Linked DNA regions of Mus musculus. The protein of the gene in region 1 interacts with the protein of each later gene in a biochemical or structural test. Links are inferred from orthologs where the notes say so. Each region holds a gene or a part of one and is shown on either strand. Other genes may lie near its edges.

Region 1 (3,749 bases):
AAAAAATAAAAACCTATCAACTGAGCCATGGTGGTATATACATTCTGGGAGTAAGAGGCCGGCAGATCTGAGGACAAGCTGATCTATAGAGCAAGTTCCAGGACAACTAAGGCTACAGAGAAACCCTTAACTTGAATCAATAAATAACCCCTAAAAAACGTTAGCATACATTTTTATTACTTTTTTTAAAGACAAAATTTCTAAGAGTAGCAGCACTATTTCATATGCAAATTGCTTTAATGTGTAGCTCAATTAAAAAGACTTGTTTTGCCAGGTGTGGTGGTAGACATCTTTAATCCCAGCACTCAGGAGATAGACACAGAAGAAACTGTGAGAAGCTGTAAGGCTACAAAAAAGATTTGCTCCATTTTTCTGTCATGTTTCTTAAAAACTTCACTGAATATCCATGAATGAGAAAAACAGACACACACACATACATACACACACACCATCTAGGCGTGACAGTATAACTCTGTAATCCCAGCTACTCTGCAAGGCTGAGAGAAGTCCAGGTTCAAGTTCAAAGGCAAGCTGTGCTACAGTCCAACCTAGGCAACTTAGTGAAACAAAGTAAAAGAAAAAATGAGGCTGTAGCACTTGCCTGGCAAGCACATGTGGGAGGCCCTAGGTCCAACACCTAATAACCCCGGTGACCAGTGAGGTGAGTGCTACAGCAAGCAACAGTGTGACTTTGCGATCCCCTGAAACCCTGTGTGTGCCCTTGGGTCCTCCTTTCTTTCTCCATATCCTTATATAATGTGAGTTCAAACTAGAGCAAAACTAATCCTAAAACTTAGAACTCTTTCTGTGTGTTGCCCTCTCTTCAGGCTAACATGCTTTCTAGCTCTTCCAAAATAGAAGGCTGATGAAACTTAAGCATTAACCCAAAAAAAAAAGAAAAAAAAAAAAAAAAAAAAGAAAGAAAGAAAAGAAAAAACAAAGGCCAGGCGTGGTGGCAACGCCTTTAATCCCAGCACTTGGGAGGTAGTGGGGGATTTCTGAGTTCAAGGCCAGCCTGGTCTACAGAGTTCCAGGACTTAAGCATTTACAGCTGATCTTTCTGAGCTGGTAACTAAGTAAACAACTGTCATAAACAAATTATTCATAAAGTCATTTCTATCCCAAAAGAGGATTAATTCAGATTATTAATAAGTAAATCCATGCCACAATTAGTCTACAGTGTAGATAGGCTATAAAAATAGAACCACCCTGGCCAGTCTGTGGTGGCACAAGCCTTTTATCCCAGCACTCAGGAGACAGAAACAGGCCGATCTCTATAAATTGGAGGCCAGCCTGGTCTACAGAGTGTTCCTAGAAAGCCAAGGCTACACAGAAAATCCGTGTCTCAAACAACAACAACAAATTTTTTTTTTAAAAAAGTCCAACTACATTGTGAAGTTGAATGAAAAAGTTTACTGAATAATTATCACAAAAGAAGAAAAAGTTAAAAAAAAAATACTCTGAAAATTAAGTCATCTGAGCAAACCAAAGCAAAGTCAGACCAAAACCTTATGTATATAAAAACTAGCCACAAAGGTAGTAACTAAAATAGGATGAAGAAAAATTTAGGTGGCAAGGAGTCACTCCTATTTGAAGGCAAATACCATGCAAATCCTTGATTCCAAAACCGAGACACACTGTTTTACTACTAATTGACAGCTTTCTGCAAATATTCTGCAATTGTACAACACGGATAACTTTTTTTTTCTCTATTTCTTCGAAAATTAGTTCAGAAACTTCTGGAAGAGAGGTTTGGGGGTGCATATAATCTAAATGCGTCATCTGATTATCAAAGAACAAAAAACGTGCTATATTTTTTTTTAAAGTGCCAAGCATCTGCTGGTTAAAGCCCAGACGAAATGGCTTGTTGGTGGTGGCACTCCATACACAGTTTGCTGTTTCTCGGTTATTCTGAGCGCTCTGAGAACTGGAGAGTTGATGGACCAATCCCGAGTAAGAAATGGAAAGTACAGCGAAAGAGCGGACCGTTCCGCACCCCCGGAAGGAAAAAAAAAAAAAAAAGACTGAGGTGTGCAGAGATGGACGGACCCTCCAGGCAAACACAACGGAAAAGCAGCGTCCTCTGGGCTCCCAGTCACCTCAGACACGGCTCCCCGGCCGCCCCCCACTCTCCGGGACCAAGAACCCAAAGTGGAGTCGAGCTGCTTTTCAGGGCCACCTAGCCTCCCAGTCGGGGATTTCCCTCCCGTTACATAACTGGGCCTAGGGCCTGGTTTCTGCCATCCGTCGTCCGAAGGGAAACGGTCGTTTTCCCCTCAGCTTGCTCTCGGGGACAAGGGAGCGGGCCTGGGCCCCCTGCGAGCCCGCGAGAAACCTGGGCGCCGTCGAGAGAGCCCCGGCGCCGGGTGGCGCGGGGGTAGGGGCCTCGGAGAGGGGCGCGGAGGGCGCGTGGAACCCAGAGCCCCGGGGTCCCAGGCGGCCTGGCCCGACTCCGCCAGGCGCCCCGCGTCCCTCGCGGCCCCCTCCCCACGGGCAGCCCCCTTCTCCAGCCGCCCCCTCCCCCGCGCCTCAGTCCAGGGCCCCAGCCCGCGGCCGACGGCCCTGAGCCCTAAGGCCCCGGCCCGGTACCTGGTCAGACATGGTGACGTGGATTCACCCGGGGGTCTCCGCACCACTGCGGCCTCCGGCAGGCAGAACCTCACTCTGAGGTTTACAAATCCGTCCCTTCTCTACAGCACAACACCGCGGCTGCAGGGACTTCCTCTACGTCTTGCGTCACTTCCGCTGCGCGCAGAGGCGAGTTAGCGAAGACGGGAAAAGGAAGCGGGAAAACGCCGTAAGGAAGGCCGGGGGCTAAAATCCTCCAGGTTGTAAACTACTTGCCTGGAGCAAGAGAACTGCTAGGACTTCGGAGGGAGGGAGAATCAGGCCCGCTGCCGCAGCCCTCAGGGAGACCAGCGCTTTGCCTGCAGGCCGAATGTCTGGGGTCAAACTGACTGCTTAGGCTCCTCCCGGTGGGACGACTTGCGCGCTTCTGAGGCCCGGACCAACCCTCACTGAATATAGTGAATTACCCGTATAGTATTTTTATAGGCCCCTCATGCTTGCTGTTGCCACATTCGTGACTCCGGGTGATAGAGGCAGAGGCTACCGGATCTCTGTGAGTTCGTGGCCATCTTCATCTACAAAGTGAGTTCCAGGACAGGACATAGAACCCTGTTGGGGGCGGGGGAGATGAGGGGGCACAAAAAGACGACCCTTCAGGACACATCTTTTGTTCTTGTGTTTTGAGGCAGGGTCTCACTAATAGCCTTGGCTATTATAGAACATTGCAATGTCAACCAGACTGGCCTCCAACTCGTAGAGATCCTCTTGCCTCTGCCTCCCAAGTGCCACCACACCCCCAGCTAGAACAAAGTCTTGGTGGCTACAGACAACTAAAATGCTACTGAAAGTTTTGAAGTTGTAGGCAGGAGCGCCTTCCAACGCATAAACTAGTTGCCTTGTGTCATAGAAAGACCTAAACTGCTTCCTTTGAATACAGTGACCTTGCACAAGCATTCAAGGAGGATTAAGGTTATAATAAGTAAAGGGGGAAAAATGAAAACTTAAATCAAAAACCCTTCACAGAACAAGACATTAGTAAAATAATCTTTTCTGTAAATAGTAATGAGCCAACTATAAATGACCCAGTAGTCAAAGAGCACTGGCTACTCTTCCAGAGGACTCAAGTCTGAGTCCCAGCACCCATGCATGCATTCAAAACTGCCTGTAACTCTAGTCCCAAG
Region 2 (3,397 bases), on another chromosome or scaffold:
CTCTCCCATAGGACAGAGTCGCTTAAACCTCCTTGAATGTGTTTCCTTTCTGTCAAGTGAGGTTAACACTCACTTGCCTTCTGCAATACTTGGGAGGATTAAACGGCTCAATATACTAAAGTTCGTTGTAAGCTACAAGGCACAACCCAGACAGAAACTGTTATAATCCAGTGCAACCGAACTGAAGGACGATGGAGGAACCCAACCTCTGGTCCTGCCCATGCCCACACTCATGCGGACAACCCCAACCACAGCAGAGGAGGACAAAGAGAGGATCGGCGCTGGAACCAAGTTTGCCCTCCAGCTCTGGTTGCAACATCTGGGCAGATGAGGTAAGGACCGACTTGCGGGTAGCATAGTCTTGGTACCAGATGATGTTTTTAGGGACATCAAAGAAACAAAGAGAAAGCAACTGCTCTTGGCTATGCTTGTGCGAATGCCCACACTCCCTCCCAGGTAAAAGTGACGTCCACACAGACCACAGACCAGCAAAGGAAGCCTGTCAACCCAAGACCTGGGATGTCCTTCGAGATGGAAGGAGAGGCCCTACTCCATAAAGCTGCCCTCTGACTTCCACGTGCAAAACCATGGTGCACGTGCCCGCATACACAGTAATAAACACTTTAAATGTTCTTTTTTTTTTTTTAAGTGAAAGGATGGAACATGGACCCTCTGCCCCACAAACCCTGGGTCTGGAAAGCGAGGTACAACATCCCTTCCCCTCCATGACGCTCACAGAACATTCACAACCTTTATTGTAGGCGAGAACTCTGCTACAACTTTGGGAATAAAAGTAAAATCACATCACAGGGCCTTGGCCCTGAAGGAAGGGGCCTGAGTATTGGGGAGGAGAACACAGAGCCCCCATGTCCCACAAAAGGTGCAAGAGTAATCCAGGCCTGAACACAGGCCACTAGACGCTTCGCCCCTTGGCTGTTTAGCATAAAAACATTGTGAACTTAAATATATAAATAGAGACCCAGGCAGCAGACAGGCCACGCCTTGCTCCCCAGCCCCTGGGAATCACAACTAAGGCCTTGTTTCCTCCTCGAGTCACACTGGGGAGTGAAAGGCAAGGGATTTCATCTTTGGATGCTTTGGAGTTTTCTTATTTATGTACAAAAAAGAAATCTGCAATCCAAAATAGAGTTCTCTGTCCATCTCTGACCTGTCGCCCGACTGTATGGTCAAAGAGAACGGAATGGATGTCAAAGACCAGATATTTGGGTTTGGGTAGGGAACGGAGAGTCTTGGGAGAGGAGGCAGGAAAGTGCCTTTCCCCAAGAGGCTGAAGATCTGGTAAAGGCTAAGGACCCCCTCATCCCTCAGTCCCTATCCCATCTGCCTCCCACTGCCTAGGTTACCATACCCAGAGGAATGTGCCACCATAAAAAGGTTAAATGTTAACCCTGTGAGTACTGGCCTGTTAGGCAGCGATAAGGCCAAAAGCAGGTATCCATGAAGCTCTGGCCTGGCCTTTGGCCAATGACCCCTGAGGGATCAGAGCAGCCAGGGGTTCGGAACCCACAACGTGATCTGCTCAGTGCTGGGGCCAATGGAGATTGATTTCATAATCCAAAAAGCTCAGTCCAAGGAAATGACGTCTGACCGACAGCCAGTCAAAGAGGGACCTGAAGGCAGGGGTCCTCCATGCCCTTCCCTCAAGGAGCTCCCAGGAGCCACAATGCTGCTGACACGACCAGGAGGGGGCGCTGGAGTGGAGCTGCGGTGAGAGCTCCCCAGTGTGGGGGCCAGTGGGCCCAGGAAGTGGGAAGGGGTTCCCCGGTACTGGAAGAAGTGGCCAAGGGTGTCCTGTTCATCTAGCGAAGTGATAACTGAAGGGCCGTAGTGCTGGAGAGATGAAGGGCACAGCTTGACGTGTTGTCTTGACTCAGCACCTCACTCACCTCAGAACCACCTCGTGGGGTACCAGCCCTCAGGGATCATACAGCATTCTTGAGAAGAAAAGCTGGGAACCTCTGCCTCCACCCTACTCCCCCAGACCCTTCTCCTGTGCCTTGCCTTGAGACAGCCCCTTCAGACATCCAGTTCTTGGCCTTGTGGGTGTCTGAAATGTGTGGAACATCCACTAGGGAAGGTTCTGAGTCCGTGTGGGGGTGAGTGAGCAGGAAGAGTGGGGCTACGAAATCACAGGTGTGACTATGGAGTGACGGGGGCAGGGAAAGGACCATGTTCTCCCCTCACAGGAAAGCATTTTTAAATCCCTAGGGACACTGGGCAGGGGAAGAGCACATCATGTGTCTAGAATGGACTCTTCCGAGATCTTGGATCTTCCTAAACATGGCCACTTACCTGACTCTCAGTCTGAAGGAAAGAAAATAAATCTAAACCTGGTAGGAAAAGAAAAATCAAAATCAACTCCCTTCTGACTCCTTCACCACAAGGGGAAAAAAAAATCCCCCTGTCCCTGGGGCTCGGCAAAGAAACAGGTCTGGAGAGGGTGACAGGGAACGACCCTCCCCTCCACCTTAGGGTCAGTGTTCTACCTTGGATGTCAGCCCCCAGTGGGAAGGCAGGTGGGTACTCATGTAGCGGGAGACTAGACAGGAAGTCACTGCCCAGTGTGCCCATTGCAGGGCTCCGCAGCACCGAGGATGGCTGGTGACCAGAGGTCAGGGCTCTGTGAGTGGAGAGAAAGAGCCGGAGAGCTAGCCAAGCGCAGATGCCCCACGTCCCACTCCGCCTGCTCTTCCCTGTCCCAAAGCTCGACCTGTGGCCAGAAGGCAGTTCTGACTTCTGTCCCTCTGCTATGGGAGCAACCTTTCTCATACCCTTTGCTTCCAGGAAGGGCTGGAATGGCCGCTGAGGTGACAGGGCAGTGCTTCTTGGTGGGGGGCAAATCCTCCTCATCTGATGAGCTTTCGATGGTCAAGTCAATGACTTCGACCCTCTTCTTACTCTCTGGCTGAATTCCCTCCTGGACTGCGCTGTACTGGAGACCTGTGGGTGGTTAAGAAGGCTGTCTCAGAGAAAGGGCCAGCCATGACTTAGCTCAATTGGGGAGCAGGGGGTCACTCACCATCCAGCCCATACCCTGGCGGGGGGCAAACCTCTGATGCCTCCTTCTTGGGTTTCATCGGACACCAGGATCCATCTTCCATGAACTGGATCTCATCACAATCCGAACAGGAATTAAGAATTTCCATGAATAAACTAGGGAGGAGGACATGTGGATTCACGAGGCTGGACGCGGCTGGAGCCACCCACGGTGTTCTGACACTCACTTCCTATGCTTTAGTCACCTCATCTGCATCACCCACCCTCCTGGACCTCCCTGAGCTGCTGCTGGGATAGAATACAGCTGGGACTGTAGCTCAGTAACAGAGCACCTGCTTAGCCTGCAGGCTGAGTCTGATCCCTAGCACTGTGGGGGAGA

What was found.
Region 2: the proteins of Sumo1 (region 1) and Pias3 form a complex in vitro, tested with the Homo sapiens proteins (2 studies listed by BioGRID and IntAct, with this or other methods). The link is inferred for Mus musculus from reciprocal best matches to the Homo sapiens genes SUMO1 and PIAS3.

The regions. Positions count from the first base shown.
Region 1 is NC_000067.6:59,668,091-59,671,839, forward strand, and holds the start of Sumo1 (small ubiquitin-related modifier 1), read right to left. Parts: upstream 2,745-3,749; 5' UTR 2,602-2,744; coding exon 2,590-2,601; intron 1-2,589. UniProt on the Homo sapiens protein: Ubiquitin-like protein that can be covalently attached to proteins as a monomer or a lysine-linked polymer.
Region 2 is NC_000069.6:96,703,303-96,706,699, reverse strand, and holds the end of Pias3 (E3 SUMO-protein ligase PIAS3), read right to left. Parts: intron 3,175-3,397; coding exon 3,041-3,174; intron 2,962-3,040; coding exon 2,793-2,961; intron 2,642-2,792; coding exon 2,508-2,641; intron 2,352-2,507; coding exon 2,314-2,351; exon of another isoform or gene 1,852-2,313; coding exon 1,585-1,851; 3' UTR 630-1,584; downstream 1-629. Other genes in the region: Nudt17 (nucleoside diphosphate-linked moiety X motif 17), read left to right, coding at 172-331. UniProt on the Homo sapiens protein: Functions as an E3-type small ubiquitin-like modifier (SUMO) ligase, stabilizing the interaction between UBE2I and the substrate, and as a SUMO-tethering factor.